Linked DNA regions of Zea mays. The protein of the gene in region 3 binds, or shares a complex with, the protein of the main gene of each other region. Links are inferred from orthologs where the notes say so. Each region holds a gene or a part of one and is shown on either strand. Other genes may lie near its edges.

The links. The genes of interacting proteins can lie anywhere in the genome.
Region 1: 30S ribosomal protein S13, chloroplastic-like (region 3) and 30S ribosomal protein S10, chloroplastic share a complex: the UniProt entries of both Arabidopsis thaliana proteins name them as parts of the 30S ribosomal subunit. The link is inferred for Zea mays from reciprocal best matches to the Arabidopsis thaliana genes EMB3137 and AT3G13120.
Region 2: 30S ribosomal protein S13, chloroplastic-like (region 3) and 30S ribosomal protein S6, chloroplastic-like share a complex: the UniProt entries of both Arabidopsis thaliana proteins name them as parts of the 30S ribosomal subunit. The link is inferred for Zea mays from reciprocal best matches to the Arabidopsis thaliana genes EMB3137 and AT1G64510.
Region 4: 30S ribosomal protein S13, chloroplastic-like (region 3) and rps8 share a complex: the UniProt entries of both Arabidopsis thaliana proteins name them as parts of the 30S ribosomal subunit. The link is inferred for Zea mays from reciprocal best matches to the Arabidopsis thaliana genes EMB3137 and rps8.

What each region holds. Positions count from the first base shown.
Region 1 is NC_050096.1:24,109,414-24,113,412, forward strand, and holds the start of 30S ribosomal protein S10, chloroplastic, read left to right. Parts: upstream 1-1,199; 5' UTR 1,200-1,317; coding exon 1,318-1,503; intron 1,504-1,687; coding exon 1,688-1,744; intron 1,745-1,750; exon of another isoform or gene 1,751-3,999.
Region 2 is NC_050096.1:303,987,573-303,991,091, reverse strand, and holds 30S ribosomal protein S6, chloroplastic-like, read right to left. Parts: upstream 2,056-3,519; 5' UTR 1,941-2,055; coding exon 1,518-1,940; intron 871-1,517; coding exon 625-870; 3' UTR 501-624; downstream 1-500. UniProt on the Arabidopsis thaliana protein: Binds together with bS18 to 16S ribosomal RNA.
Region 3 is NC_050096.1:271,763,189-271,766,578, reverse strand, and holds 30S ribosomal protein S13, chloroplastic-like, read right to left. Parts: upstream 2,244-3,390; 5' UTR 2,127-2,243; coding exon 2,031-2,126; intron 1,437-2,030; coding exon 1,197-1,436; intron 917-1,196; coding exon 740-916; 3' UTR 501-739; downstream 1-500. UniProt on the Arabidopsis thaliana protein: Located at the top of the head of the 30S subunit, it contacts several helices of the 16S rRNA.
Region 4 is NC_001666.2:77,988-80,116, forward strand, and holds rps8 (ribosomal protein S8), read right to left. Parts: upstream 912-2,129; coding exon 501-911; downstream 1-500. Other genes in the region: infA (translation initiation factor 1), read right to left, coding at 98-421; rpl14 (ribosomal protein L14), read right to left, coding at 1,051-1,422; rpl16 (ribosomal protein L16), read right to left, coding at 1,532-1,933. UniProt on the Arabidopsis thaliana protein: One of the primary rRNA binding proteins, it binds directly to 16S rRNA central domain where it helps coordinate assembly of the platform of the 30S subunit.

The DNA of each region.
Region 1 (3,999 bases), about 250 Mb from region 3:
TTAAAAGTACCTGGCAAATATCTGAAACTTGGTATACTATTCATGTCACACTAATTTTATCAATCACAACCAATTCACCTTCTGTCTTCTATGTGAACAGGAAATCTCTACACCTAGCAATCTTCCTCAAAAGAGATAGGAAAATGCATCAAAATGCTTGGCGAATCTCTGAAACTGAGTCAACCACTTAACAGCAACTCAATAGCTATTCATATGCCCCGATTTTTGCAGCTTGCTCTAGGTGAATAAATTTGCTCAGGTGTCAGATGATCTGAACTTACTGTAGCATTATGCAGAAAACCAATCTCCGTTTTTGAAATATTGTATGTCGACTCTTAAGGAACTTGCAGCTCATATTGGTGAGGTGGTTGTTAATAAGTGCTTATCTGCTGCTGCTAAATCTGGCATGTTTGTCAGCTTGAGGACAAGCGCAAAACTCTGGCAGAGATCTGTAAGGTTACTGCTCTCACAGAAGTCACCAAATTCCCCTTTCTCAACCTCTCCTAAATCTGATCGGGACAAGACGAACGTTCATGGATTCAACCTTAATGAGGCATCACGTGCTATGAATTCTGATAGAACAGTCATCACAGCGAAACCAACTTTTGGTGATCGATTGTCGAACAAATCAAATACAGTTCCATCTCCCAGCACCAGCAGGCAGCTTAACCAGGGGGGGGGGGGGGGGGGGGGGGGGGGGGGGGGGGGGGGGCTGCTACTGCAACCGTTCCATCATATTCAAGGCTTCGTGGGCAGCAGTCGGGCTTAGATCTTGTAGCTGCTCTCAAGGGGATTGGGAAAAAGGAGTGCTGGGGATTGTGGTGATGGCCGGGATAAAGAAGGGAAGTGAATAGCTGGTGCTCTGTAGATGTATGTCTGTAGTAGAGTTAGTTTGGCCACCTCTATGGCTCATCATTCTGTATTTCTTTTGCCTCGTGCCAGGAGCTGTGAATGTAGCTTCTCCTATTTGAGCGCTGGTATGGACAGTCTATCCAGGCAAGAAGAAGGTAACTGATTGTTCCTTGAAACGATCAAGTTTATGCCAGCCAGATCGACACTTTTAGCTGAGGTCACAGTAATATCCAATTCCACGATCTTCCTTTCCGAACAAATCATTCATGATCTTCTTCGAAAGTAATGCTAGAGGAGACAGAACTCGCCCATGTTTGCCACCAGACACCTCGCTTTGAAAGTAACAAAGCTGGAGGGGCTCGAGCGCAAATGCCCCTGGAACCGGATAACACACCGCGATAGCGAAGCAGAGGTCTTCCAAAACCCAACGCGGCAAACGGCTTCCTCACCCCCCCTCCCCTCGCCATGGCCGTCCCCACCTCCACCTCCTCCCCGCTCCCCCTCCTCTTCCTCCATCGCTGCACCGCAAACTCTAGCCCCTCGGTTCTCTCCTTCCCGTCCTCCCTCCGCGGCGCGTCCCTCCGCTCCCGGGCCGCGGCCGCACCGCCCGCAGAGACCCTCTCTGACGACGGCATCCCCGACGCGCCACCGGTACGTGACTGAACTGATATTGCCGTGTCTTTTCGCACACGCAGAGTCCAAAACCTGCGAATTTCATGATGGCGTGTACCGCTTGGTTATGGGGGTTACAATTACATGGCGACATTGGTTCAGTTGGCACACTCGTTAGACCTTGTTCATTCGGTGACTAAAATTGTTAACCTCGCGCTTTCAGGAAGGGGCAGGAACGGGAATTCCGTTGCCATCGTCGATTGGGGATGATGGGGAGCAGGTACCTTCCATAGCAGTTAAAAATTTCCCAGATTATTATGTTACCGAATCTTTTGTTCTGATATTGTTGCTTCCTTGATCGAATGAACTGTGAAAAGTTATAACCATAAACCATACAACATGTTTCTCTTTTATTGCTGCATAGCAGTGCACATTTTACTTGTGATTGTTTAATCACAATAAATGGAGAGCACGATGTGCTCTGGGTATTTGTGTAAATGGCATTTAGAAATCGTTCAGGACGCAATGCAATGATGCTAGACAATATCAGTCAGCACATTCGTTTAAGCCGTTAATCTTAGTGTAAACTGTTCTTAACGTGAGTGTGACTTGGACTTCAAAAATGTATGTTTTTGTAGAAGTCCATATCACGTTAGACAGTTTAGCATCCTTAATGCTTAAGCCATGCATAGTTACCAGCACATGATTGAAGAGACTATGTGGGAAATTCATTTCGTTTGTCCTTTAAATCATTCCTATCAGACTAGAATGAGGATATCTGAGGGTCTATGGTGGTTTAGCTTTCCAGATTCTACTTAGCAGTTGAAAGCTTGCTGGATCAAACTTTCAAAGTTTTCTGCCTATTAATGCTCTGTTCCTCCTTGGAATTATTTGACGTACTTGAAAAATGGTGGACGGCGTGGGAGAGGGGGAGGGGCAGCATAGGGAGAGGGAGGGAGGGAGCAATAACTCTATTCTTGCTTAGACTGAAATAGTTATTTGCCCCTATATTTAATTATTTATAGTTCCTATAGGACTTGTATCCCAAGCATCATTCTTATAGATTTGTAATCTTGTTTCCTAACAAACCAATCTTCTTTCTTAAACAAACTCTATCATTATTTTCTAAACAAGCTATATTTTATTTATTCCAAGCTTATTGAAGATTACCTTTGAGTTTCCATCTATTCCGGATTCTCCAGTGCGGGAGGGATTCTAGGGGCAGTAGAGGCCGCGGCTCATCAGGGCCTGGTGTTGGGCCTCAGTTGGGCCACTAGGCCCGACATGGTGGCCCATATTTAGGCCTGTGAGGCTGTGACATACTGACTCATGACTGAAGCCTAGTATCATTTGGCCATCGAAAGAAAGCAAAAAAAAAAAAGACAGCAGTTGTCTCAAGCGCTCAGCAACCATGGACCATGAATTCCTTATTGTCTTTACCTCGCTGTAATTGCGCCCACTGTGGTAGTCAGTGTGTTCCCCTGAACAGTTAGCAATATCTAACTGTGTTGTTGTGTTTACAATTTGACAAGTTATGCAATTCCTCTTGCTTGTCTCCCTAGGAACCTCCATGGTACTGTCATTGAACTGTTGGAGTCGAGTTGAGATGCTTCCTTCATTCTAAAATATATAATGTCAATGTGTGTGCTCAGCCTTTTAAACTTGTATAAACTTATTTACTTTTCTCACATGGAAATGGTCAAATTGTAAACAGGACAAAGGTGTGTTTTGAAGATCCATGTCCAAAATGGCTATTAAGTAGTAAAATTAAATAGAGCTAACACTGTATAATCTGTCATTGAGGCTACTCCTTGTAGTTTTATGTTTACTTTGCTTCATGCTTCTGCAGTTCTGCTTGTTAAGCATGTCCATCGTAAATATTTGTCTGCAGTTGTTGTATGGAAGTGCTGAAAACGAAATTTTTACAAGGCCTTGTGCACAGTTGGGATCCTCCCATAGTGATTCTTATTTTCTTTAGATGTATCACAAGAGGAAATGGTGATAATAAACAGATACGGAGAGATACTTGTTGGTGTTTTGCATGAAGCTGGATCTAAGGGCCTTGTAGTGTTGTGTCACAGATTTAGATCATCAAAGGAAGGTAGAATTATGTTAAGTCTCGCTGATGCATTAACATCAGAAAATGTCAGCATATGTGTTTTGATTATTCTGGTAATGGAGAAAGCGAAGGTACTTTTGGATAAGGTTACTATAACGAAGTGGACGTTTTATGTGATGCGATCCTGCATTTCAAAAACACAAACGTGACACCCATGCTATTGCTGGCCACAGTAAAGGAGAAAATGTGGTTATCCTCTATACATCCATGTATCACGAATTCACGGTATATCTAAAGCTATTAACCTTTCTGGAAGGTTTAAGCTGGAACGTAGAATTGGAGATCATTCCGTAAATGATTACATGGAAAGGATTAATCAGCATGGTTTCATTGATGTGGAAGACAAAATAGGAGTATCATCTACCGTGTGACCAGACAAAGTCTGATGGATGGTCTTAAGACAGGCACTCTGCAAT
Region 2 (3,519 bases), about 32 Mb from region 3:
TCCATGGCTGACAGATTTTGGATTGCTGGCGTCTGTTCTGGTTTGTGTTGTGCTTTGTGTCTTATCTTCCGAAGTTTCCTGTTCCTGCTCGAGAAATCCGAAAGCCAATCTGCGTTCTGCATCATGTCATGTCCTAGTGTCGTACTGTTTAGTTATATGCCGAGAACATCTCTTTCATCAAATGAATATTTGGAAACACCAACGCACTTGACGCTAAATGGGAATGAAGTGTGGAGTATTTAAACGCCTCTGAAATCAAATGAAAGTTGTACTTGTACGAATCTCTTCCACAAATTGCACTGTATATGCTTGTACTGTTGCAGATTTACGATGGGTTTGGACTGTTCTCCATCCCCGGAGCGCGCTCAGGCTCGACGCTACCTAGCTACGGACCTTTATTTTTGGTACCTGATGAAACATGATGGTTTTAGGAGGCGCGGTGTTTCTCTGGCGAACGATGGCCGGACGTCCATTTTCGAGAACCACAAGACAAGAAACATATTCAAAAAAAAAAAACTCAACAATCATGGCAAAGGTGGATTCTTGTACAGCAGATTTCTTGTAGTATGGTATGTGAACAAAACAGTGTTCAGGGCCTGAAGGCGGAGGAGGCAACCCGTCTAACTAGACGGCCTTCCGCTGGCGGACCTTGAAGCTGGTGGAGCGGATGACGTCGTCGTCGGCGTTGAGCTTAAGCTGCAGGGCGTCCATGGACTCCGGCTTGGTGAAGTAGGTGATGAGGAGGTAGATGCCGTCGTAGTAGGTGGACGGCAGCCCGGTGCGGCTGTTCCTCTTCCTGATGCTGTATGCCAGCGGGATGACACCGCGGTTGAAGACCTCCACGTACATGGCGCCGCCGGCGACGAGCAGCTGCAGCACAGGAAAACACCAAGCTGAGCTGGATTGGAATGGTACGCAGATGGCATGTGACTGATAACAGCGATTAAGGGCCCGTTTGGAACTAACAAATTGTTAGCTAGGTTAAACCAGCTAATGGACTGATTGTTAACTCACAAATTAGCTGAGTTATTAGGTAGGGGGTGTTCAAACCTCTACTGCTATATATTCAAGCTGTTCACCTGTCTTTAATCCGAAACGGTTTCTTGTCTCTATATATTACCGCCGCAGCATCTGACTTCAATGTGAACAAACTGATTAGCTCTAGACTAGAGTGAGTTTCTAACAGAAACAGTGCCTAACATACATGGTGAATTCAGGATAGGATGGCAATTAACTATGGCGGATCCACTTTTATACGTTTAGAAATCCTAATATTTATTGGATGAAATTCGAAACACTCGGAACCCTTTTAACATTCGTCTCGCATTGCTCAAGTATGATACCAGCCTGTCCAGAAATTATCATCTGTCTGCTCTCTCTGCCATCGGAACAGCAAATGGTAGCGAGATATGCAAGAGGCAGAGGTGAGCCGATCGAGCCGTGCCCGTGTTACGCTGCTCCATCCATCCAGTTAGCTATAGTGGCAGCCAAACGGAGCGGAGGCAAACGCAAATTACCTCCTCGTAGCGCTGGATGAAGGCGAGGCGCTCCTCCTCGGACATGTCGGGGCGGAGCACGACCATGGTCTCGTACTGGCGGAGGCCGGGTGGGCAGGGCGGCATCTCGCGCTCCTCCAGCGCCAGCGCGGCTTCCGCGGCCGACATCCCGAGGCCGCCGCCGCCCAGCCCTAGCCCCGGGCCGAACCCCGACTCGTAGCCGACCTCCTCCTCCTCGTCCGCGCCGCCGGCCGCGGACATCGCCGAGCCGCCGTAGAAGGACGCCGCGTACCCAGTGGAGACCGCGCGGGGGCGGGCGAAATGGGAGGGGGCGGGGGAGGGGAGGCGAAGCAGCATCGCAGCGGGCGGGCAGGAGCGGAAGGGCGGCAGCGCGGCGGACGCGGATGCGGAGGAGAGCGGCAGCAGTGCCATGGGTGGCGGCATTGGAGGGGCCAAGGGGAGCCGAGCGGCAGGGGGGCGACGAGCGCGAGCAGGACAGGAGCCGGAGAGCGGGAGGAGGCGCTGACGCTGTTGGCGTCGCGTCCACTCGATAGATAAGGATAGGACGCCACGCCCTGTTTGGAGTTTGCACGGATTTTCATATTGGTGGAAAAACGGCCGGGTTGCCAGTTAAACCAAAATTGTTTACAACGTTAACTTTGTGTGTATTTCAACTATATGTAGTTATGCATTTCTTCTATGTTTTATGTGTATGATTCTTTTGTTGTCATATACGCAGCATGTATGTTTTCCTTTATTTACCCATAGAAAAAGTATAAATTATTCTTTTAATTATACTAATTGATTATCTAAGTTTGCTGTCCAAAGATTTAGGCAGCTAAAATACAATATCAACAGCGGACCTATATTTTTTTAAAAAAATCTCGAACAGTTGAATTGACTAAATATAGAGTAGACCTAATCTTCTCTGTATACGAGATATAAGGGGCCTGTTTGGTTCAGTTTTTTTCTGACCAGCTTTTCTGAAAATCTGGCTGTAAGGAGAATCTGGCTGTGGGGAGAATCTGAGTATCATTACGATTACGTGTGGAGGAAAATAAAGTTGTTCATAGGACTCAGGATCTAGAAAGTGATGAATTCATACTATTACAACGACTTAACCGATTATGTGTTTATATTGATTTTGGATGGTTTTTGTCCCAACGAATTTTATAGAAGCTGGCTGAAAAGCTGAGCGTTTGGCAATCCGCAGCAGCTTTTGGTGGCCAGAAGCTGCTAGAATCCGAAACAAACAGGACCAAGATAAAAGATCTAGTGAATTTGAACACCGAAAAACTTTGTGTGAAGGTCTGAAGACATTCTATTGTAGGTCAATTTGACAGGACTTCGACTCTACTTTCTCACGACTTCTTAAAGGGGCCAATAGCCGAAAACAACTCCTTGTAGAGCTCAAAAAGTCAAAGTCATTTTTTATAAAAGAGACACGATGCTGAAATATGGCTTTTATTTTTGGATTTTTTAAGCTTTTGCTCCAAGTTTTGCTGGTGTTCTCATTTTTACCCTTAGTCGTGTTTTTTTACTTAGTTTTGTCCTTCTAGTGTTATAGAGTAGTAGGGCAAAACTAAGAAAAAACACGACCAAGGTTAAAAATAAGGAATGAAGCAAAACTAAGGGTACAAATTTAAATAGCCCATTTTTTTACTTACAAAAACTTCAGCTTCATAGAAGGTACTCTACTGACAATAAAATAAGGAGCTAGAGCCCTTCTAAAAGGAGCCATATCAAATGAAACAACAGTATGAGTTTATTTGAGATTCACTAAAAATAATTTAAATTTTTGAAAAACTTTGTCAAACGATCTAGATCCACTAAATTTATATTTACCAAAATGGGGGATCTAAAGGCTAGATCCACTCTCTTGGTGAAGCTTCTCAATGGAAGCTCCAACAACATAAGTTTGATAGAGTTGAGAAAAGTTATCGACCACTACCATCGATTACAGTCCAATTCTTTCTAATTTTTCCACCTCTCTTCTTCTCCCGTCACACATCTTCTCTCTTCT
Region 3 (3,390 bases):
TTTATTTGAGTGGTGGATAGAGCGCGCGGGCGCGGCGGCCCGGGTGCCGCCGGATGGGGGAGCAGGTGGTGGTGTCCGTGCACCGGTGCAAGCTTCGGCAAATAGCACACCACGGGATCACAAATTCACAGTCATCCGTCATCCGTGCTCTGCAAGTTGGGGGCTGATGAATGCCAGGAAACCTTAATGGCTTCAATCAAGTGATTCAAATCATCTTTATTTGAAACCAAACACAATTTAACCATCGTCCTTATCAAGAAAAAAAACATAACCATCGACGGGTAGCCAAAACTTGTTTTTTCAACTACATTTGTTAAGGGGAGAGATCTCGAATCATAACTCTTCGCCACATGATCATCTCGTGCAGGGATGAAAACAGGTATACCAGTGGCAGGTGAATAATCCCCAGAACACTGGATCTGGTAAATAGTAATTCGTCAGGAGCAGTCTGGACTCCTTGCATCGAGCATAGGTTGGGACAGAGGAATACAAATGGATGTAAACAAGAATTTGATCTTCATTTATAGAACCGACCCATATGAGCTAGTATGTCATTGCTACAAAATCTGCAGCAGCTGATGGCTACCCCATGATTTGTCAATGGCAGCATAAAAGCTCGAAACAAAACACCCAGCAGTAGTAGCGCTACACACACACACACACACACACACACACACAGAGAGAGAGAGAGAGAGAGAGAGAGAGAGAGAGAGAGAACTTCAATACATGGCAATACGATTTATTCATCCTGGGAGGCGGGTGACTTCTTCTTGGCAACTGAAGCCCTCTTTCCCTTAAGTGTCCGGCAGTTGTTCTTTGTCCTCTGGCCACGAACTGGGAGTCCAAGCTTGTGCCGGATGCCCTTGTAGCACCTAATCTCCTTCAGCCTCTCAATCGCCACACGGTTGAAACGTTTCTGTAAAGCATACCAAACAGCAGTGTGCCAGCTCTCAGCGTTTTCACTCCCTTGGAGTCCAACATCGATATAAAACTAAACAGTTAGGACAGTCAGGAATCATCTATGACTAAGGAAGTGAAATTAAATACGCAGACCTGCAGAATGAACTTCAAAGCTTTCAAGGAATCATTGATATGTTAACTAAGTAACTATGGTAACCATACAAGTCGTTAATCATCATGAACTACTGAATCAAATAACTGCAGCGAATAATCGACAAAGGGATCAGGGACGTTACAAGGTCTCCCTCAATCATGTACTTGCCAACCTCCTTACGGAGGGTGATGACCTCCTCCTCGGAGAGGTCCTTGGTGATCTTGTTATCGAAATTGAGGTCCAGGAGGATCTGGCGTGAGCGTGAGCGTCCAATGCCATGTATGTACTGCAGCGAGTACTCCACCCTCTTGTGGTTTGGAATCTCAACACCACCAATACGGATGCACTCGATCCGCAAGCCACCGTGACCGATTCCTCCCTTCTGTCAGGCCACCCAACATACAGCACAATCAAAAACCGCAAAATAAACCACCAACATGAGCCTGGGTATGAAGGGTCATTCAGATGGGGATAAATTAATGATGTATCGAAGTTCATGTTTGTGTCGTATTCAGGCTGTGCGCACAATGCAACAGCGATAATAAACAACAGCTCCTATAATCAGGTTCAGAATTTCAGATCCACATCAAAAGTCTAAAGAAACATCCTTTTCTTTGCTACTAGAATCAGTCATACTGCTGTACCATGAAACACTAGCATTACTGACAATGCGCTAGAAAATTCATATGCATGAACCAACACGCGCCATTTCCTACCAATGTATTGAAAATTAGCAGTTCACAGAAGACCATCCTTCCAACGCTCCTGACACGACCATCCCAAGTAGGCCTTGTTTTTGGATACTCTCGTATTCAGCACAATCAATATGTATTGATATAGATTAGAGTGAAACTAAAAAACTAATTTACACCCCATTCCAACAAGGCCGTACAGGGTTAGAAAAACAAGACACCCCAATCAGACAAGCTCCCTGGACGCAGGGGGGTATAGGGGTATAGCAGAAGGCGGCACTAACCTTAGCGGGGAAGGATGCGGAGGAGCTGCGGCCCCGGGTGGAAAGGGACAAGGAGGAGGGTGCGATGGGGACGGAGACCATGGAGAGGGTCGCCATTTTTGCTCTCCTGTGGAGCCGCGCGGAGGGCGAGAGGCCTGTGCGTCCCCGGTCTATCGGATAGAAAACCCAAGGGCGGATGATGATAAGGTTGCGTATGCGTAGGCAACCTTCGATGACCTAGTGGCCTTTCCCTATGTGTGTTTTGGACTCGTTGGCCCAATAGAAAATATAACTTTTTTCTACTCGTTCGTTCTAAAATAGTATTTCCTCTCTTCTAAATTAAAATTTATCTTATATTCATACAATATTTAATGTATGTATTTTAAAAGTGTCTAGATTTATCTTTATTCATTTAAATATAGACATAAACACTGAGAACTAAAACAACACATATATAAAGTAAACCCTTCAGATCTTTGATGAATCCAGCATTAGTCTACAACGAATTTTATTTTGGTACAGAGGGAATATTATTTAAGATGAGTATATATATAATGCATCAGTTTAAAATTTACAAAACCCACCAGGCAAATCATATACACACATAAGTACATAACCTCTATTGACTAGCCCTAAGGGCTAGTTTAGAAACTTAAATCTTCTCCTTGATTCCCGAGGATTCCCCTCAATCCCTAAGAACCTCAGAGGTGATTTAAGTTTCCAAACTAGCCCTAAATATTCCAAACAAATTATATCTAGACTTAACACACCATCAAAATCCATAGTTCATATTGCTGGATAACTCTCTCTCCCTTAGAGATGGCAATGGGTACCCGCGACCCGATACCCGATGGGTATTTACTCCATTAGGGTATGTATGTGGCTAAATATTCTACCCGTGGGTCTGTTATTGGGCAAAAATCTTCACCCAATGGGTAAACGGGTATTAGAACGTTCCGCCTTCACCCATACCCGTTAACCCGTGGGTATAAAATACCCAATATAAACTTAGCCCAAGTATGAACTTTGACTTTAGTCATCCATCTTTTTTACTATTTAACAACCTTTTAGGCCATAATGTCATAGAAGGCTTAACGACAATTTAATGACCATGTAATGTGCTATGTAGTATTATCCTAGTGTTACTACTTTATCCAATTATCTTTGGTGTGTTGAATGGATGGTTAAATGATACTAGAAATTTTGTAATGGTATTTAGATGGATATACTTGACATTTTTATCATATAATATTTTGATAGATGTTTAGCTTTTGTGGGTACGGGTGACCCGATGGGTGACCCATACCCACATGAGTAAGGGTATGAGGGTAAATCCATACCCGCCAGTGTATATGGGTGACCCGATGGAGTTATTTTTGTG
Region 4 (2,129 bases), on a different chromosome or scaffold from region 3:
TGGGTATTCCTTTCTTAAACTATGAATCTATTCTTTTGGAAAAAATAAGTCTCTTCACTTAAATTTTGAAACTTGGAAGTTATTACCCCAGAAAAACCTAATCCTTTGAATCTTTGGTATCCTTCAAATCTTCAGTATCCTTCGAGTCTTCGGTACGCTTCGAATCCTTATGGGGAAGTCTATAAATTATACGACCTTTGCTGGAATCATAACGACTTATTTCAATTTTGACCCTATCCCCCATCAGTATTCGTATAGAACTAGACCGGATCTTTCCTGAAATATAGCCCAGGATGATGGTGTCATTCTCTAGGCGAACGCGGAACATTCCGTTGGGTAGGGCTTCCGTAACTAAACCTTCGAAAGTGACTTTTGCTTCTCTCGGGTTTTTTTTTTCTCTACTATTTTTTTTTTCTGTCATATATTTTTCTCCTATTTTTCTATTTTTATTTTCAAAATAGGAAGTTCGAGATAGAATTTGGGTACTATAGGTGGGGCCATTACCATATATAACATAAAACTTCTCCCCCAATTCTGTTTAGTCGAGCTTCTCGATCTGTCATTATACCTCGAGAAGTAGAAAGAATAGCAATTCCCATTCCGCCCAAAACCTTAGGAATTCCTTGATAGTTGGCATAAATTCGTAAGCCAGGTCGGCTGATACGCTTTAAAAAGGTTCTAGTTCTATATATTCCCTTTCTAGTCTTTCTCCTTTGATGTCGCAAAGTTGAAACCAAGAAATATCTGTTACTTTCCTGATGTTTCCGAACACTTTCAATAAAACCCTCTCGTAGAAGTATTTTAACAATGTTTTCGGTAATATTTGTGGATACTACTCGAACAGTTCCTTTTTTATTCATGTCTGCGTTTCTTATAGAGGTTAGTAAATCAGCAATAGTGTCCTTGCCCATAAGACTCTAATTCTAGGTTCCTCCTAATTTTTCTATAATCAACATGTTTTCCCTTTTCTTTAAATTTAGGATTTTAAAGCATATACGTGAGACAAAATCTACTAATTTTTTCTTTGATCTATATCTCGTCTACTAGTATTTATAATACTTCAGGAGCTAATGAAACTATTTTAGTCAAATTCAATTCTCTTAATTCTTCGGCAACCGCGCCAAAAACTCGAGTTCCTTTTGGATTTCCTTTTTGATCAATGATAACTGCTGCATTGTCATCATAGCGTATTATTATACCGTCGTCGCCTTTGAATTCTTTACGTGTACGTACAATTACAGCTCGAATTACTTCGGATCTTTCTAGAGGCATTTGGGGCACTGCGTCTTTGATTACAGCAATAATAACATCACCAATACGAGCATATCGCTGATTACCAGCGGCTCCTATGACTCGAATACACATCAATTTTCGAGCTCCACTGTTATCTGCTACATTTAAAAGGGTCTGAGGTTGAATCATATTATTTGGATTTCCATTTGTTATTTCAATGCAAAAGGATGAAAGAAATATTGTCTTTCCAGAAAGAAAAACCAGGGGTTTTTTATCTTCAATATTCCTTTTTGGGGTTCTATATCTCTAATCGAAGAAATTGACTTCGTATGGGCATTTTACTGGCAGCTATAGAGATAGCTGCTCTAGCTACAGTTTCGGATACTCCGCTCATTTCATAAAGTATTCGACCTGGTTTAACAACGGCTACCCAATATTCGGGGGATCCCTTTCCCGAGCCCATACGTGTTTCTGTGGGTCTTATTGTAACCGGTTTGTCGGGAAATATACGCACCCATATTTTTCCACCACGACGTGCATATCGTGTCATTGCTCTTCGTCCTGCTTCTATCTGTCTCGCGGTGATCCAAGCGGGTTCAAGTACTTGAAGAGCATATCTACCAAAACAAATATGATTGCCTCGGCAGGATTTTCCCTTCATTCTTCCTCTATGTTGTTTACGAAATCTAGTTCTTTTGGGGTTATAGTCGATGGTTCCTTCTTAGTTCCATCTCTACTACAAAACTGGACATGAGAGTTTCTTCTCATCCAGCTCCTCGCGAATGAAATGAGAAGCGTGCGAATGTCATTTCTCTAATTCCATAATATTCAAAAATATTATAGATAGATACACATCAATATATAATAGAAAAAGTTAGGTTTTTTTGATTTTGACT